5 linked regions of the Mus musculus genome follow. The protein of the gene in region 1 purifies or fractionates together with the protein of each later gene. This does not show direct contact. Links are inferred from orthologs where the notes say so. Each region holds a gene or a part of one and is shown on either strand. Other genes may lie near its edges.

Region 1 (3,514 bases):
CTCCCCCTTCCTTCACCCTTGGACCTTCTGCCTTTCTGTCTCCATCACTCTCCATTGTAGCATATACCTGGATTTAGATCCAGCTGAGCCACTCACTAGCTATATGTCCTTTGACCATATTCCTTATTTTTTGAGTCTGTCACAGTGGGGCAAATGGCCACATCCCTCATGTGTGGCTGCACTTAGCTGGGGTTCCACATCTTCCCTTTGCCCAGCGCAAGGCACCTGCCATCATGTTTGTGGCTCTGGTGTTTCCTTCTGTCTCCATCTATACAGCGTAGAGAGTACAGAGTCTACACCCAGTCACTTTCCCTACTCTCCATTTCTATTCCCTGCCCCAAGGTTGCTCTGAGAGCATCCAGGTTCTAATGATAACACCCAACTGCCTGGTGGCCCCTTAAGTCCTCTCAATGTCACTGCCACGTCATGTGACCAGAGGGGGTTTAGTATTAGAGCTTGAAGAGAAGATCTGGGAAGAAAAACCAAGCCAATCTTGAACACACCATGTTTGCTTTTGTTTCTCTTTTCCTCCCTTCTTCCCATGTTGGTCTCTTCATTTGTGGATGCTGCAGTGCTCTCTCAAATAAGTAATGGCTATGGTAGGGTCAGAGATGGGCTGTGGCAGGGGTCGGTTGGGGATGACAGCTGTGAGAAAGCCTTGGGACAGTGGAGGAAAGTGAGTATAACAGTCAGGCTGGTGAGAGCCCTGTGCCCTGCTCCCCCATCTTTGGTGCCACCTTTCTTGTCTTTCCCAGCTCTTCTTTTCCTCCTATTCCCTCCCCATTGATGCTTATCATGTCTAATGAATCTTTCTTAGTCAGGGTTTCTATTCCTGCACAAACATCATGACCAAGAAGCAGTTGGGGAGGAAAGGGTTTATTCAGCTTACACTTCCATACTGCTGTTCATCACCAAAGGAAGTCAGGACTGGAAATTAAGCAGGTCAGAAAGCAGGAGCTGATGCAGAGGCCATGGAGGGATGTTCCTTACTGGCTTGCTTCCCCTGGCTTGCTCAGCCTGCTCTCTTATAGAACCAAGACTACCAGCCCAGAGATGGTACCACCTACAAGGGGACTTTCCCCCTTGATCACTAATTGAGGGAATGCCTTACAGCTGGATCTCGTGGAGGCATTTCCTCAACTGAAGCTCCTTTCTCTGTGATAGCTCCAGCCTGTGTCAAGTTGACACAAAACTAGCCAGTACAGAATCCATCCCACATCAGGTCATGGAGTTATTGAAGGGAGACTAGATGCCCCAAGCATCCAGGCCTCTTCTATTACCAAGGTACCTCTGATTCTTTCTGGACATCACTATATCTTTGTACCTTAGGGACCTCACTCCGCTCCCTAGAGCCACTGCAGTTACCAGACTTTCCTGCTGCGGTTTCTGGACCCTCTGCATTTGCGCCAGGTCACAACATCCCTGACCATGGCTTACGAGAGACACCAAGTTGCCCCAAGCCTGTCCAGGACACCCAGCCACCAGAGTCCCCAGTAGAGGTAAGTCCTCACAGTCTGTTTTAAGCTGCCTGCTTTTGTGTGCCTGTCTGCCCACTTCTGCCCACCCAGCCTTCCAGAAGCCCCTTCCTACCTCCTGAAAATCTTTCCTGCTAAGAATGCTGGGGTTACCTAACTGGCTACCTAACTGCTGGCCATACCTGTGGACCCCTTAGCATTCTGTCTTTAGCTAGCTAAGAGGTCATGGTTTTGAGGTCTTTGCAGTGGTCATGTGACATGTTGAGCTGGGTAAAAAAAAAAAAACAAAAAAACAAAAAAACAAAAAACTGGAGGTTAAACCAGATTTGAATGTGAGGGAGGTGATATGAGGGCTCAGGAAGTCATGGATGGGTGGTGACAGAGCTCTTATCAACTGTAAAGTCAGGTATCTGGAAGATAACTAGTTCTACTGAGATGAAGTGAGTTAGCCATGGGGTATAGAAGAAACCCTAGGCCTAGACAATGGGTCTGAAGCCATAGGGTCTGTGCAGAGACTGCTGAAGAAAGGGCAGTGGTTACAGAGCTAGACACACACATGGGGAGGAAACTTGGGCAGTGCCTGCTTTTTGTTTTGTTTTGTTTTGTTTTGTTTTGTTTTGTTTTGTTTTGTTTTTATGTTTTTTAAAGCACTTGAAGTCATCCCGAGAGGCTGGGGATGTAGCTTTCAGTTGGTGCAGTGCTGATCTGGCATACACATATCCCTGAGCTCAGTATCCAGCACCATAGAAACTGGGCATGATGACATATACCTCTAAGCCTGACACTCAGGAGGTGAGAAGCAGGTGAATGCAAAGTTCATAGTCACCCTTGGTAAGTTCAAGGCTAGGGTGAACATAAGATCTGATCCAAAAACAAAACAGCAACAGCAAAACCAAGTAGGTACTAGGATTGAAGACTTATATTTGGCAAGTATAATATTGAAGAGCTACTTCACTCTTATATGTGAAGGTTTCTGAGGATCCTGGGCTCTAGAGGAGGAGCTGAGGCCTGTAGGAGATACCCTATAAATATCTGCTGCCCTTTGTCAGCTCCTGGGAGAAGCAACTGCTTTATCTCATTTCCTCTGTTTCAGAATTCAGAGCAACTCCTCCAGACCAACTCCGGGGCCGTCGCGAGGATGTCTGGTGGCTCTTTGATACCCTCTCCTAACCAGCAGGCTCTCAGCCCTCAGCCCTCCAGAGAGCATCAAGAGCAAGAACCAGAACTGGGTGGCGCCCACGCAGCAAGTATGCATAGAGTGTGGAATTACAGGGTCTCTTGGATCCCTCGCAGGAAGGTTAGGGTTACAGTTACCATATGGCCTTCCTTAGACAGGAGGCAGGGTAGAAATAAAAGGTATTCGCTTCACAGAGTATGTTCTGTGTGCACGCCTGTGTGTGCAGTAGTGGCAGCAGCAGCTTCAAATGCAGTCATTTATGTGCACATGTCTCAGCTGGGTAGGTCTTCTTATCTCGCTGAGTTTTCTCTCAGGTGTTTACTGACATATACATGTGTTCTTCTACTATCCATTACCTGGTACCTCTTCATTCTCTTTTCTTCTAGGACAAAAACCCAACTCATGACATCTGGGCAAGGCTCTAGGTAAAAGAGAAGCAGAGCTCTGAGCATAGGCTCAGAACTGGCCTATTTCTCCTGCTCTGTTCTGTGGTCAAAATAGATTAAAATTTTAATTAATAGATTAAAATTTTAATCTGGCCAGCCCAGATTAAAAGCACATTGGAGGGTGTAGTTTTTTGCCCTGTGAGTGTGTATTTTTGTACATTGCTGCATATGAGAGAGAGCTAAGGCTGTTTCTGCACTCAGGTAAAAGGTAGTGATTGTCCAGGACCTGAAGACAGGAAAGATAACATACAATAGTAGCTGATGAAGGAGCTTTTAAACACTGCTCTTCACAAGGGGATTTCTAGTTCCCAGCTGTGGTGGTTTGAATGAGAATGGCTCCCATCGCCTTCTACATCTGAATACTTGGTCCCCAGTTGGTGGAACTGTTTAGAAAGAACTAGGGGGTGTAGTATTGT
Region 2 (4,056 bases), on another chromosome or scaffold:
TTTTATTTTATTTTATTTATTTTATTTTATTTGTTTGTTTTTGAGACAGGGTTTCTCTGTGTAGCCCTGGCTGTCCTTGAACTCACTTTGTAGACCAGGCTGGCCTCGAACTCAGAAATCCGCCTGCCTCTGCCTCCCAAGTGCTGGGATTAAAGGTGTGCACCACCACGCCCGGCTTTTCTTTTCCTTTTTTAAAGATTTATTTATTTTATGTATGTGAGTACACTGTCGCTGTCTTCAGACACACCAGAAGAGGGTGTCAGATCTCATTACGGATGGTTGTGAGCCACCATGTAGTTGCTGGGAATTGAACTCAGGACCTCTGGAAGAGCAGACAGTGCTCTTCATCTCTTGAGCCATCTCTCCATTCCCTTGGTCCCTTCTTAAAGTCTTGTCCTTTAATCTGATCCGCAAGGCACCCGTTCTCTTTTCTTTCTTTTTTTCTACAAAGCTCTTAAAAAGCAGCAGAAATGTCTCAAAACCAAAAAATGCAATAGAATTTTTTTTTATCCTTAAACATGGCACTCCCTCGGAGATCTCAATAAACAGGATGCTCAAAGTCTGCAAAGAGCCCAACCGGCCTAATCCCGCCAGGAACTAGAGTCGGGCACAAGCAAACACAGCCCGCGGAACGCCACCAGCCGTCCACGAAAAAGAGTGGCTTCCGGAAGAACAGAAATGATGGGAGGACCAGAGGTCTTGCAGAGTTTTAGGTAGTTAGAATTGTGCCTGTAAACGTCTCTGACCATCAAGATGGGACGTTGATTAACGAGGTGCACTCCACACAAGTCTCACAATTTTTCTCGAGGAAATTACAGCATCTCACTCAGTCATTTTTCTTTAGGCGTTTCCAGTAGCCACCCCGGTCCGGTTGCACTCTGGCGCGCGCAGGGAAGAAACGCACATAGCCGGAGGGGGGCGGGGAAGTACTTAGAGTGTGCGCACGCGTGGCGCCGCTCACGCAGGCGCAGTGCGGTCCCCCGGGCGACGACGGCGGCGGCGGCGGCTCCTCCGGGTGGTCGGCTCCCTCCCATCTCGGCCGGCCCGGGCCCGTCTCGCCCCCCAGAAACTCACTGTTCGGGGCTGTGGACTTTCTCATCGTGCCCCACGAAAGTAAATCGGGGGAGACTGGGGGAGCCGGAAGTACCGCCTCGAGATCCCCCCAAATACGATCGGGGAAACGGAAGTGGCCCTTGGTGCCAGGTTGGGGGAGACCGGAAGTGACGGTACCGTGGGGACGTCGGGGGCGGAGCCACAGGGTGGTGGGCTGTGTATGTGTGTTTGTATGTGTTTGGTCGCGTGTTGGTTAAGTCGTGTTGCTGGAATACCGAGGAGAGGCGGAGGCGGAAGGCGGGGGCGGTCAGCGAGCCCGTCCAGCCTCCCGTGAGTGTCCGCGGTCTTGGGTCGGTGGTGATTTAGGCGGGTTCGATTGTGGTGCTGCGCGTGCGCGAAGCCACTTTTCTCTGCCGAGTCTAGCGCGACCCTCCCCCCACCCCTCGCGTTGTCCTAGGATTTCCCGATCTCTCGGGCGCTTGCTCGGTCGCGACCGGTGATGACACTGGCCTCTGGTCGGTCTCGTGCTTGCTTCCCTGATTCCTAGCCCAACTGGCTCTCCCTATTGTGATTGGCATGGTGGAGCCCCTCCCACCTCTCGTCCTTCATCTCCCTATGCCGTCGATCTCCTACCCTTTGTGTTTCTGTTCCTGTGCCCCCGAATCAAAAAGGGGGGATGAGAAGGAGGATGAATATATCTGCTTGTGTATGAGAAACTTTGAAGGGATTGGGGCGGAGATTGGGTCCAGAGAGGCTTCCGGGTGTATAAAATACAGTGCGACCGACAGCGAACCCCCCCCCCTCGTTCTTCTTTAGAGAGCTGTCGGCCATGGAGCCGAGTGATAGTGCCAGTACCGCTATGGAGGAGCCTGACAGCCTGGAGGTACTGGTGAAGACCCTGGACTCTCAGACTCGGACTTTTATTGTGGGGGCCCAGGTGAGACACCAGTACTTTGTAGAAGGATGCGCCTGATTTTCTTGTCATTGACTCTTTTGTCCCTTACTGGATAGGACATCTGATGTACCTATTGAGTGAGGGGATGTGGTTACTGTTGAGTGAGGCCGATTTGGAGTCTGTCTTCACTTTGACAGAACTCAGTGAAGAGGAAAGTAGAGAGGAGGGATCTATACCTGTTCTGTGCAGACCCCAGCCCAAAGAGACAGACATGACTCTGGCCTTTGGGACCAGACACAACACAGGGGGCACCTTGGACAAGAATGGTGTGTCACAGGGACCTCAGACAAGTTTGGTGTGGGTTTTTTTTTTTTTTTTTTAAACAGAGTGTTCACAGCTTGGTACTATTTTTATAAGATTAAGGAAACCTGCTTTCATCCACTGTGAAGTAGACTTGTCAATAGCTGAGGCATGGTTTGAGCCTCCTGACCTTAGTGCACTGTGGCCACTGCATAATTCTTTGAGACAACCACCATGAGGAGGTCATTTTTGTGGTTTTTAAAGCAGATATTTAAAAAGCCACATAGACTTTTGTCTGTAGGTACATGTGATAGTTAATTTGGCCCTACCAAGAATTACTTAATGTCTTTCCGGGAGGTGGGCACAGGATCTCCTATAGCCCAGGCTAACTTTGGCCTCTGACCACTGTGCCTTCGTCGTCTATGTGGTCGTCTATGTGCTAGGATTATATGCACTATAACAGAGGACCACATCTGACTTGGCTTGGTCCTTTTTTTCTTACATAGTGAAATGTCTTAGAACTGATGGTCTTGTACTCATGATCCTCCTGTCTCTGCTTTCCAAGCTTGGAATTTCAGTTGTATGCTATTGCTATTTTTGGTTTGTTTGTTCTTTTTTTCCACCTTCCCTTATTTTTATTTATTTATTTATTGCATGTATGTGGTTCTGATGGGTACTGAACCTTGGACCTAGCACAGAGCACTTACTACTGAACCGTATATTGTGTGTTCCTTTCTGACCTTTGTTAGTTATCTTTCCAGACCCTGCCTCCCAACCCCATGGTGGTAATGGTTGTTTTGGGTTGTGTGTATTTTTGGTTTCTTTTAGAAGATTGTATTTGTTTTTATTTTATATGTGAGTGCTTTCTCTGGAAATACACATGTGCACCTTGTGTGCACTTGGTGCCTGAGAAGGTCAGACTCTGCAACCTGTGGCCTTTTCTTCATGTGGAAGTTAGGAAACTATAGCCCCAAACTATAGCCCCTACTTTGTTACAGATGGTTGTAACAACCTCGAACTCAGAAATCCGCCTGCCTCTGCCTCCGGAGTGCTGGGATTAAAGGCGTGCGCCACCACGCCCTGCTTGCTTCATTTTGTGTTTTAAGTCAGGGTTTCACTTTGCAGTCATGGCTGTCCTGGTAGTCAGATCCACCTAGCTCTGTATCCTTGAGATTAGTGGCTGTGCCAGTGCCTGTCTATCTGCATTCAGCTTTGAGATTATGGCCTTGAACACCTGCTATTGTTTTAGTTTAGAAAAGGATCACTGGTATCTCTAGATACTGGATAGCAGAGAGGGAGAAAGGGAGAGCTATTCGGCTTCTTTCGTATAGGTTTTAGTTATTTACTGTTGTTGTGATTTGGATTTTTTTTTAAATTAATTTAATCTCTGTACATTGGTCTGACTATTTTAGAACTCACTACGTAAAGCAGGCAGGCCTCAAACTCACAAGAGATCCACCTGCTTCTGCCTCTCAAATGCTGGAGGCATACACACCACGTCCCACTTATTTTTAATTATGTATTGGTATGTGTCTCTGCCTCTGGGTACAAACGCTCATAGAAGCCAGAGACACTGAGTCTCCTAAAGCTGTGTTTACCAGTAGTTGTGAGCTGCTGCCCAACGTGGATGTTGGAAATTGAACTGGAGTCCTCTGCAAGACCAGTATGAGCTCTTAATCACCGAGCCATTTCTCTAGCCACACTCTTTTATTTATTTATTTATTTATTTATTTATTTATGGACATAATAAATATCGGCCTGTTGATATAGTTGGCTAGTGAGACTGTCTGATTTTGATGTTGGCATCT
Region 3 (4,311 bases), on another chromosome or scaffold:
TTAGCCATATGATTATTTGATTATCATCCATTTCCCCCCTCCATGAGAGTAGGACTCACATCTGGTTCTGTCACAATTATATACCAAGAACCTAACCCACGGTCTGGTGCAGAGCCAACATGCAGCTAATGTCTTGGATAAAAAAAAAAAAAATGAGATTGAAACAGCTAAAAGAGGGCCAGCTCTGCTCCCCTTGTCTAAGATGGGGGGGGGGTGGAAGAGGTGACATGCCAGAGGACCCCAGCTATATTACCACACAGCTGGAAATGGTGTCTGGATCCCTGCTGTTTTGGAAGCATCCGGACCCAGAAGCAGAAGGGGCGGGGGGGTGTCAAAGCAGAAACCTTCATTTCCTGCTTACCTGGTAGCTGGGGTGTTCTTCCCAGGCCAGAGCCCCAAGAGGTCCTGGGCAAATGGCAGCCCCACCTCATCCTAGGAAAACTGGAGCCTGGAACACTTAGAGCCACTTTCTTTCCTGTTGCCCTGCAAAAAGAAAAGTGTGAGTGGGATTGGCAAATGGTTCAAGGGGTAAATACTCCTGCTACCAAGCCTGAGGACCCACATTCAATCCCAGGAACCTACAGGGTAGAACTGTTCCCCAAAGTTGTCCTTTGACCTTTGCACACAGCCAAACCTGCACCCACCATAAACAAATAAATAAACACATAAAAGAAAAACGTAAGAACAAACAAAACACCAATAAAGTAAATTTAAAAAAAACAACCCAGTACTGTGAATGTACGGCCATCAAACCTCCCTTACATGTGCATACACACACACACATACACATGGCACATGCACACATATACACAGAGACAGGCACATGCACTGACAGACACACACATACACATGGCACATGCACACAAATACACAGAGACAGGCACATGCACTGACAGACACACACACACATACACATGGCACACGCACACACACAAATATACACACATACAAACACATACATACCTCTCTCTCTCTCACACACACACACACACACACACACACACCTCTCCCTCCCTCTCTTGCTTTCTCTCGAACCCTTACCCCTAGTATCTAAGAAGGGGCCATCTCCCAAGAGAGGCTCAGCCCTTCCTCATATGTATAAAAGAAGCCTTTGAAACCCTGCCCTGGCTTCTAGCTCTCCTCAGCAAAGATAATCCTAACCTGAGTGATTCTGTTTCATCTCCTACCAGCTCCTGCCTGGCACTGGAGTTTCACAGCTGCCTCTGCCCCGAGATCCAGCCCAATCATCTGCTTTTAGGTTTTATTTTTGCTTGACTGCTAGCAAGCTCAGATAGGAGCCCTGTGCTCACTCGCAGGCCTTTTCTGAGCCTGGCTTTTTTCCCCCACTCATCCTTATTCATTTCCGTCTGCTTTTGTGCCACGGCTGAGTTTTAATGGCTGTATCACTTTATCATCTCTCTGACTTTTATGTAAGCTGCCTGTAAGGCTGGCATAAATAATAAATGGATGTGTGAATGAACTTCCTGCTTGACACAAGGATGTGCCGCCTCTGCCTCACACTTCAGCCATGCCAACCTGGCCTCGTCAGCCCCCCTCCTCTGTTTACTTTGTGGCAGAGCTCCCCCAAGCCCTGGATTCACACACTATTCCCTTGCTCTTTATTCGAAGCCTTCCCCCACAGGCAGCGGTGGCAGTCTTACAGATCTCTCCCTACTGGTTTTTGCCAGCCTCTTCATTTCATCATTTCAGAGAGATCCTTCCAGACCTTACAAAACCCTACTTCCTCAAGTCCTCTGTGCCTCCACTGTTGGCCTATTCCACTCCCTCATCCCCTGCAGAAATCAGCTCCCTAAACTCCTAAGCTACTTGACAGCTATGAAACCCAGGCCCACACAAGCTATTTTTCCAGGTTTGCCCCCAGCCCACACCTCATCCTCCAAGACTACTATTGGATTCTTGCTCTCACCTTCCTAACTCAGTCCCTATACTTTGGTTAGCATTTACTTTATCAGAATCCCAGACACTCTTTGAAGATACTGCTCAAGGTACTCTTTCCCAAGGAGTCTATTCTGGCCCACCCCATCCCACAGCTCCTTGACATGCATATGTGGCTAGGCTGGCGTGGCCTCCCTCACTGCCGCTAGGGCAGAAGGGAAGCAAACTTAGGAAGAGGCTGCACTGAGCACAACTAGCCAGAGCAGGAGCTGGCTGAGGTCTTGAGTGGGCTGGAAACAGGAGACCTGGGGATTAGAGAAAGGTCCTGAAAACCTGACAAATCCCAGGATTGACATCAATCAGCCCCAGGTCCACTGAGTCAAGATAAGACGTGCAGGGTCTAGGATAATTCTCTAATCGAGCAGTTGTCATGGCACTAATCAAAAGAAGGAATGCAACAGAAGTTGCGGAGCTTTTCCACCAAACTGGGTCCCAAATAGCTTTCCCACTTCCACTTGGCTTGGGGGCGGGGGGGCAAAGTGAAGCTGCCAGTAGGCCTGTATTCAGCGCCCAAGCTCCGGCAGAATCCCCAGTGCCACTTGCCCGCTCCCGCGACCCAGCTGCCCGGCTCTTGCTTCCGGGGCCCAGCGCAGCCGTCCAGCCGGGGGCCGGAGGAGCGATCGACCCAGTTAGGCCTTTACCCAGGTTGCCTAGGCCCTGGTGCCCGTCGCCGTGGCCCGGAGGGAAGGAGGCCTGCGTCTCCCGCTGGCTCCGAGCTTCCCCGGCTCGCTCGGCACGGCGCGTCTAGGCCGCCTCCGCCCGCCAGCCAGCGCGCAGCCCGGCCCACTCTGGCACCCCGCCCGGTCTGGACACTGGAGGGCACTGAGCAAAGACCCGCAGAAGGGGGAATGGGGTGCTGGCGCGGGGCGGAGACTCCGGCCCCACCCGGTCTTCCCAGGGCCCAGGTTCCCGTACTGCCCCCTGCAGGTTCCCAAGCGTCAGGCCCAGCCGATGACCTCATCCACCTCCAAGTCTGGACTTGATGAAGCCCATTTTACAGATGAAGACACGGAAGCGTGGAAGAGAAAATGACTCGGGCGCAGGTCGTCCCTGTTGGAAGTAGATGATTCAGAAGAAAAGCTCCGGTCTAGGCCTTCCTTACACTTAGGTACTCATCCCCAGAGCATAATGACTTCCCTTCCTGCTCACAAACGTAGCTTACCTCCAGGCAGAAGACAGCCCTTCTTGGATCCTCCCCTTCTGTGTTATTCAGTCCCAAGACTCTAGAGGGGGGCCTCTGACCACTTTGGCCAGGAAGGAAGAATGGGTACCGACAGATAACTTCCTTCTCCAACCTGTTCTTCCTGTCTGACATCCCGTCATGGTTTTAGCCTTGGGACTTCCGTGTTCTAAAAACCCCAACCCTCATCCCTTCCATTCAAGGAACACCCAAGGTTCTCGTAACCAAGCTGACAGTGACCTTCAAACAAGGAACGCCTCCACATGCAAACACTGGTGTGCAATGTGCAAAGAACAGACATGAAGTAGAGAACTCAGAGAGAGAGGCTCCTCAGGGCCGGCTGGGAAGAGGCTTTTGTGGTCTACCCTCCATAGGAACAGAAGGCCAATGGTGATAATTTTATCTAGGCGATTGTCCATTTATTCCATGTGTGGTGTTAGGCCAGTACTGAACATTCACCCTGGGCTGCCAAGCAGAGCAAGTCATGCAGGGACCCACCATACTTGACAATGAATTTCTTCAGAAGTCGAGGCAAACTATTAGGAAAATTACTACCTGCCTCTAGCAGAGACTCTGACATTTGAACTGGCTGTTAAAAAGTCAGAATGAAAAAAGTCACTGGGCAGCATGGAAAAGGGCATATTTGCATTTTAAGAGATGTTCTTCTAAGATTGGAGAATGGCTCGGCCGTTAGGAGCACTGGCTGCTCTTCCAGAGGGCCTGGGTTCCATTCCCAGCATCTACACAGCAGCTCACAACCATCTGTAACTCCATTCTCAGTGGATCTGATGCCCTCTTCTGGCCTCTTCAGGCACTGCATGTATATGGTACACAAATACACATGCATGCAAAATACCCATACACATATTTATTTGTTTGTTTATTTGTTTATTTATTTATTGGTTTTTCGAGACAGGATTTCTCTGTATATCCCTGGCTGTCCTGAAACTCACTTTGTAGACCAGGCTGGCCTTGAACTCAGAAATCCACCTGCCTCTGCCTTCCAAGTGCTGGGATTAAAGGCGTGCACCACCACCGCCCGGCTGAACATTTTTTTGCACATATTTTTTTAAATATTAAAAATAAAAGAGTCTGGGTAGAGGTAGCACATGCCTTTAATTTCAGTACAAGAAGGCAGAGGCAGGTGGATCTCTGAGTTCAAGGCCATCCTGGTC
Region 4 (3,514 bases), on another chromosome or scaffold:
AGACTCAGAACATCCTTAGGACAAAGGTCTCCTGGGTCCCCCCTCCCTCTGGCCCTCATGCCTCTCTGATAGTGAGCCATCTGCAGTGAGATGTTCAAAGGTCACCAGAATTAGCCCCACAAAGCCATGCCACCACCCTGTCTCCCCACCCTCAAGCCCACCACTGGCGCCTGCTACATCATCACAGGGCTTTTGTATCTACAGATACAAAGATGTGAGTGTGTAAGTGTGTGGTGTGTTTCTGTGTTTCTCTCCTGCTAAATTGGTTTCCAGCTCTCCACTGCTTCTGAGACTACCACCCAAACACACACGTACAATGTTCTGTCAGTGCCACAGTCAACAGGTGAGTCTGATAGACGGAGTCTGAAAGAGATTCCTAGTCTGAAATATGTTCCGTGCACAATGATACTCACACTCCTGATTTCCTTTTATTTTCTCCGAGACCGTTCTGCAACAAAAGGAAAAGGAAGCTGTTTCAGATGAGGAGAGCCATCGTCTTAGTTTGGGAGCTGGCCCCGTGACCAGGTTCCTTACATCAGCTTCCTAGGTCGGCCATTTCTCTGAGTCGCTACCAACGCTTACTGCAGGATTGCCAAGCAGCTGTGGCATGCCATCAAATGGCCATTTGGAGGTGCACTTTCCTCATCGCTAGGGGAATGAAGCATCTTTTCCCACTCGCTGCCCACTTAGGTGTAGCACATCCCTTCAGACCATATCTGTTCTACTGGATCAACTGTCTTTTTCTTACAGACTTGTAGTTCTTAGTAAATAGATGGATTTTTACAACAAATTGCCTGATTTTTAAGTTTAGTTCTGATTCTAAGTAGGGGTGGAACTACACCAAATATTATTCAGTTGAATGGACAAGGAAAAAGAAAGTAGAAACGTTAAAAAGAACAAAGGTAAGGGCCAGGAGAGAGTTCAGTAGCAGAACTTGGCTAGAATACCTATTTATAGCTAGAATTTGAATCCCAGCACAGGGAAGGATGCAAGGAGGGAGGAGTAGGGGTAGGGGATGGAGAGTGTGAAGGAAAGAGGAGAGGGAGGAAGGGAGAGAAGGAGAGAGGGAAGGAGGGAGGGGGGAAAGAGGAAAGGAGGAAGGGAGAGAGGAAAGGGAAGAAGGGAAAAGAAAAAGGAAGGAAGGAAGGGAGGGAGGGAGGGAGGGAGGGAGGGAGGGAGGGTTACAAAGTGGGTGGGAAAGGATGGGGGAGAGTGGGGAAGAATTTTGTCCTTGAAGAAGAGAAGTTAATATGAATGAAAGTTAATAAAGAGAACAGAAAAGAGGCAATGACTGTTAATATCATGATCTAGTAAGGACATGAAACTGAAATGTAAAACTTATGAAATGATCATAATCATATGGAAAGATCACATCTAAGTGAGGAGAGAAAGGGAAATGGGAAACTTCAAGGCTGGTATCCTACCGTAAACACGTTCTCTGAGGAAAAACTTCCAGGTGCTGACTGGGAAACACTACAAGAAAAGGGGAACCTTGATGAATTCAGTCTGGTGGGGAGGGGGGGATCAGGACCCACAGCCTCAGACATGCCACACCCTCAGCCTGCCCAGCACTGTTGCCACCCAAGCTCACCCATTACTTGTCATAGACGAGCTGCTGGAAAAGCCACTGAATGTAGATGTGACAACGCTAGAGGATGTTCCGGCAGTTTTCTGAAAGAAGGGACAGCCCTTAGCATGTTCACAGGGTGCTAACTGGTCTCCCTGAGGCAGTCCATCACTGTTCACAGGGAGCTAACTGGCCTCTCTGAGGAGGTCTGTCACTGGGTACACACTACTGCACATACTCTCCCCGTGGCCACCAACTCCACAATTGCAATCACAAAATTAACACATTTTTTCATGGACGTTTGGGCTAAGTTTTAAAAAGCAACCCCGAGTTGCTATAGAACTTTTATGTCTCAGACCCTCGTGGCCCCATGGTTCGTGGATCATTGTTGGTACACAGGATGGAGGGACCATTCTTTACTCAATAGGCATATGCCCGCAGTATAAAGACAAAGCAATCTGAAGTCAATTTCAAAGGGAATCATGATTGTACAAATTAAATCTAACTGGCAACACATACCGGCGGGCTCTTTAACAGCTTCTGATAGGCTTCTTTCGCAGCCAACTGCTTTGCCTCCTGTTTGGTGACACCTGAACCAGTACCATACATTGTCTGCCCAATTTTGCATTTACAAATAAATCTAGGAAAAATTAGAGTATTCATTCACATATCAAAAATATCGTCCATCTAATGCACACTTTGAAAAGGCCCCTACAGACAAATAAAGGCCTGAAAATCAGACTAAGAATTTTTTTTATTTAGATTTATATTTCCTACCTCACATAATTTAATCCCCACAAAATGGCCATCAATCTAATGTAAATAACCAGGAGTAGCTTATATCCTTGTCTACATTTCCCAGGCAACATCTAAGTCTTTCTTGCCTCATTGAAAGACCTGACAGCAAAACACCAAGTGATGATTTAAAACAAAAACAAAAACAAAAAACCAAATGGAATCTTTCCAATCCCAAGTAGAGGGAAGAGAAGAGGGAAAGGTCTAGCACCTTTTCCAGAGCTGTTCAAATAGGAGAGAAAAACAGTTGGTAGGATGGGGCTCACAGGGGCTAAGCTCTGAGGGTACAGTACTGTGGCCTTTGGGGAAGACAGCACACTGACAATGTGCTCAGGACCTCCAGGTTCTAACCCTTGTTCACACAGCATATCCCTCACAACTGCGCTCTTCACACAGTAGGACTAAGACCGGTCCTGCTGATCCATGCTATCCGTTTATCCAAATGTGAGGAGCAGAGACTCAAGACAAGCAGCTCTCTAACCGAAACTGATATAGAGTCGTTTCCATGTACAGACAGAATGGTTCTTACACAGTTGCAGCTGCTGTGGCCTCAGGGAAGGGAAGAGCTCTTCGTCCCTGATCCATGGGCATCCTGAACTTTTTAAAAAAGTTTAGTGGACTAATTGCCCAGATGCACCTCCAAAAACCAGCAGTCCCCTCTTATTGGCAGGGGGCTGGCGGATGACTGAAACCATGGATTACATTGAACTCATTGTTCTCCTTAAACATTCCTATGATAAAGTTCATCTCATAGCCTAGATAGAAAAAGACTAACAGCCAATAATAAAATAGAACTATTAGTGCAGTATGCCCTACTTCTAGGTTTTTGAAATGGTCTTCCTCCATCTGGTTGACCAAAGATAACTGAAATTTCAAAGTAAACCAGCCAAATTGGATTGTGATAGACTCCGCAGCCTCAAACTTTTTATTTTTTTAATTTTCAAATTTATTTTTTATTTTGTGTGCATTGGTTTTTGCCTGCATGTATGTCTGTGTGGGAACGTCAGATCTTACAGTTACATACAGTTGTGAGCTGCCCTGTGGGTGCTGGGAATTGAACCTGGGTCCTCTGGAAGAGCAGTCAGTGGATGGTTGAGAAACACCAGTAGAATAGTAGGCATTTTATGTACTCCCAATCCCGTTTCTGCCACC
Region 5 (3,514 bases), on another chromosome or scaffold:
CTTGACAGAGTCATTTCCACTCTTGGGAGTAGGACTCTGTTCTTTGGGGATGCAGGTGATGGCCCTGAACGTCACTGTGGCCATCCCAGTGTCCTCGCAGAAGGGCTTCTGAAGCAGGTAAGTACTTCTGAACCTCATGGAAGGTTCTGGAAATGCTTCACATGGATTGTATGAGTAACTAGACTGCCAAGAGAGGGAGGAAAGGACCAGGGGGCAAGAATCTGACATTGACTTAGCCTCCACTCCACACCAGACACCTTGACCTCACTCAGGGGTCCCATCAGCCATTAAGTTCACATTCTCCCTGATGTATGGCCAGAGAGAGAGAGCAACCAGAGAAGTCCCGGAGCTGCGTGCTGATGGAGGAGACTTTTTCCCATCTGTATCTGAAGCAGAGGAGAGAAGGAACAAACACAATTGGTCGGCCTCACACTGATTCTGTCTCTTGCAAATGACTGAATGGGACATGCAGTGGGAGGGCTGTCTGTGTGGATGTTCTGCCCCAGCCTCAACAAACTTGGCTCTTAAGAGTTGGTGGGGAGGATCCACATATAGCTGGACTCTTTTCTCCGGCACAGGTAACAAGGGAGACCAGACACAGTCCACTTTTAAACCCGTACAACCTTCGAAGAAGACCATTCGTAAGTAGCCCCCCGTTTTTTTTCTGGTGTCCGTGTGGCTGTGGCTGGCAGATGCATGGTTGAAACTGTCACAGGGGCTACTGAAGCTTCTAGATGGTCACAGACCATCTCAGTTTTTCACACGTGTGTGTTTGTGTGTGTGTGTGTGTGTGTGTGTGTGTGTGCATGCACTGTGATACACATGTGGAAATCGGGAGTCAACCTTGGGTGTCAGTCCTTACCCTCCACTTTATTTGAGGCAGGGCCTCTTACGTGCCATGGTATAAGTCAGGCTTTCTGGCCTGGAGGCTTCTGGGGATCCTGTGATAGACAGCCATCGTCTTGCTGTATGTAAGACTTCTGGGATTTCAGACGCATGCTAGCCTATCTAACCTTATCTGGGGTCTGAAGATCTGAACTCAGGTTCTCAGGCTTGCATGGCATCTGCTTCACCCACTGAGCCATCTTCCCAGCCCCGTGTTTCTCTCTCTTTCCCCCTATTGCCCTCTCCCAGTGAGCTATAGAAAATGTTTCCCTAATTATCCCTACCAGTGAGAATTTGATTCTACACACGCACAGTGTATATTGGTTTATTTATAAAACGGGTAAGCAGACTGGTGGCGCACACCTTTGATCCCAGCACTTGGGAGGCAGAGGCAGGTGGATCTCTATGGGTTTGAGGCCAGCTTGGTTTACATAGTGACTTCTAGGACAGCCAGGGCTATGTAGAGAGACCCTGCCTCAGAAAAAGAAGAGAAGAGAAGACTTTTTACATCCCACACCTCAAGCATTGGATTTTACCCCTGTTCCCATCCCCTCAACAACAATGGTGTCCCTGTCATTGAGAATGTGGTTATGGAGTTAGGAGTGTGAGTCTCCTTGTCATTCACATTTGGAAAACAGTGACATTGGAGCCCATGGGATTTTAAGAAAATAAGTGATGTTCCCATGGGGACATACCGGTTGTGAGAGCTCTCCATAACCCTTAAGGGAAGCTGTGACTGTTTCCCCAAGGTCAGTATGAAATGGCATCAGGGTGCCCTGGTGCCAGTGAGTGTCGGGAGGATGAGAGGACTCCGTGCGTTGCATTGTTGCTTGTGCCTTGTCTAACGTGTGGGCTGTCGGTATCGGTTCCTCTGAGGGCTGGAACACCTGGTGACCTTGTGCTTTTTTTTTGGATGGAGAAGAGGAGCCCTTGGGAAAGAAAGCAGGGTGTTCTTAAAGCCCTATTGTGATACTTAACCAGCTCTATTTATTTTCTGACTTTCTCTTTTTTTGCTTGCTTTTTTTTCTTTCTTTCTTTTGTAGGGCTCTCATCTACCAGTAGTAAAATGCACAGACCCTAAATGTACAGTCAAATACATTCTGACAAATGAGTTCCATGTCACCATTACCCAAATCAACAGAAACACTTCAGAGAAAATTCCTTCCTCTTTCCTAACAGACAGTGTATACCCACCCACCATGACCCTGGTGAGGGTTCCTACACTTGTTGATGTGTGTTATCAGCCACTGCCTTATAGTTTAAGTTAATCCATCCTTCTTTAACTGGTATGAGTCAGATGTATGCTGGTGAGTGCTACTATGGTCTCTTGTGTGTGTGACAACATGCTTTAAAATATCCTAATCTGAAAATCTTTCCTTTTCAGAAGAAAAGAAGACCAAGAAAACCCGTAAGTTGTGCATCTGTGTATCTTTTTGTTCTCGTGACTTGTGTGAGTCTAGAGCTAACATTGATAGCAACAATTGACCTGCTTTAACAAGGGTCCTGCGATGCACCTGTTCTTACAAATGTGTGCCCGTGAGGATGGCCATGGGGGTGCGTGGGTAGATAGTTGAATGGGTGGATGGTAAATGGGTAGGGCAGATAAAGAGCCCTCGTCTGGACTCACTTGTGTGGCCCTGGCTGGTCAGATGTGTCTGTGGAAGTTGAGAGTCATCTTGGAAGGGAAGAGAAGTCATCTAGTCCTCTGGGTTGTATTGCTATTCCATGGTTGTCCTTCCTCACCTCCCAGCTGTTGCTCCCGGCCCTCCCTCCCACTTCTCACCTAACAAGTTGCCCACCTTTGGAGCTCCTGGCCAATCACTGGATTCAAAAGCAACTTCCCCTGATGGTGAGTGGTGTGCACAGGCGCCAGGGAATTAGGTACCATTTGTCCTGAGTTCCCATCTTGATTACTATTCTCTGTTTTGTCTTCTAGCCGCACCCAAAGCCAGTGCTGCACAGCCAGACTCTGTAGGAGTCAAGGCTAAGGTGCTAGAAAACTTCTTAACCAAGTCCAGAACGGAGCTTCTGGAGTGTGAGTAGCTTGGCTCTGTGGGTGCCTTCATGCATACCTGGGTGGATGGATGGATGGATGGATGGGCAGGTAGGTGGGTGGATGAATAGGTAGATGAATGGGTGGTCAATGCACCCATTGGGGAGTAGGTAGCTAGGTGATGTGTGTATCTGAGTAAGTGTTCTGATAGATGAATGGTTAGTTGGATGGGAGGGTAGGTGGGTAGATGGATGGGTAGTTAGATGATTGGGTGAATGGGAGAGTAGATGGATGGATGGATGGGCATGTGGATGTGTGGATGGAGAAAAATAAATGTTAACAGACGAGAAAAGCTTTAAAAGTGCAGGCACCTTGGGTCCCTTGTCAAAATTCCCTGGGGGGGGGGAATGTCTTCTCAGATTTCGTGAAAGTCATCTTCGACTACAATACCGCCCACAACAAAGTGTCTCTGTCAAACAAGTACACCACCGCCTCTGTGTCCGATGGGCTCCAGCACTACCGGTCCCATCCCCAGAGGTTCACCTACTGCTCTCAGGTCCTGGGGCTGCACTGCTACAAGAACGGCATTCACTACTGGGAGGTGGAACTACAGAAGAACAACTTCTGCGGCGTAGG

Evidence for each region.
Region 2: the proteins of Mavs (region 1) and Bag6 purify together in Homo sapiens (affinity purification with western blotting; 3 studies listed by BioGRID and IntAct, with this or other methods). This does not show direct contact. The link is inferred for Mus musculus from reciprocal best matches to the Homo sapiens genes MAVS and BAG6.
Region 3: the proteins of Mavs (region 1) and Nlrx1 purify together in Homo sapiens (affinity purification with western blotting; 4 studies listed by BioGRID and IntAct, with this or other methods). This does not show direct contact. The link is inferred for Mus musculus from reciprocal best matches to the Homo sapiens genes MAVS and NLRX1.
Region 4: the proteins of Mavs (region 1) and Eif2ak2 purify together in Homo sapiens (affinity purification with western blotting; 3 studies listed by BioGRID and IntAct, with this or other methods). This does not show direct contact. The link is inferred for Mus musculus from reciprocal best matches to the Homo sapiens genes MAVS and EIF2AK2.
Region 5: the proteins of Mavs (region 1) and Trim25 purify together in Homo sapiens (affinity purification with western blotting; 3 studies listed by BioGRID and IntAct, with this or other methods). This does not show direct contact. The link is inferred for Mus musculus from reciprocal best matches to the Homo sapiens genes MAVS and TRIM25.

Annotation. Positions count from the first base shown.
Region 1 is NC_000068.7:131,240,551-131,244,064, forward strand, and holds part of Mavs (mitochondrial antiviral-signaling protein), read left to right. Parts: intron 1-1,329; coding exon 1,330-1,499; intron 1,500-2,568; coding exon 2,569-2,722; intron 2,723-3,514.
Region 2 is NC_000083.6:35,134,246-35,138,301, forward strand, and holds the start of Bag6 (large proline-rich protein BAG6), read left to right. Parts: upstream 1-1,254; 5' UTR 1,255-1,273; coding exon of another isoform or gene 1,274-1,383; intron 1,384-1,402; exon of another isoform or gene 1,403-1,759; intron 1,760-1,869; coding exon of another isoform or gene 1,870-1,882; coding exon 1,883-1,990; intron 1,991-4,056. UniProt on the Homo sapiens protein: ATP-independent molecular chaperone preventing the aggregation of misfolded and hydrophobic patches-containing proteins.
Region 3 is NC_000075.6:44,265,383-44,269,693, forward strand, and holds the start of Nlrx1 (NLR family member X1), read right to left. Parts: upstream 2,806-4,311; 5' UTR 2,598-2,805; intron 484-2,597; exon of another isoform or gene 476-483; 5' UTR 432-475; coding exon 362-431; intron 1-361.
Region 4 is NC_000083.6:78,869,063-78,872,576, forward strand, and holds part of Eif2ak2 (interferon-induced, double-stranded RNA-activated protein kinase), read right to left. Parts: intron 2,208-3,514; coding exon 2,087-2,207; intron 1,672-2,086; coding exon 1,592-1,671; intron 1,474-1,591; coding exon 1,425-1,473; intron 449-1,424; coding exon 414-448; intron 1-413.
Region 5 is NC_000077.6:89,012,898-89,016,411, forward strand, and holds part of Trim25 (E3 ubiquitin/ISG15 ligase TRIM25), read left to right. Parts: intron 1-578; coding exon 579-641; intron 642-2,269; coding exon 2,270-2,293; intron 2,294-2,635; coding exon 2,636-2,734; intron 2,735-2,821; coding exon 2,822-2,920; intron 2,921-3,297; coding exon 3,298-3,514.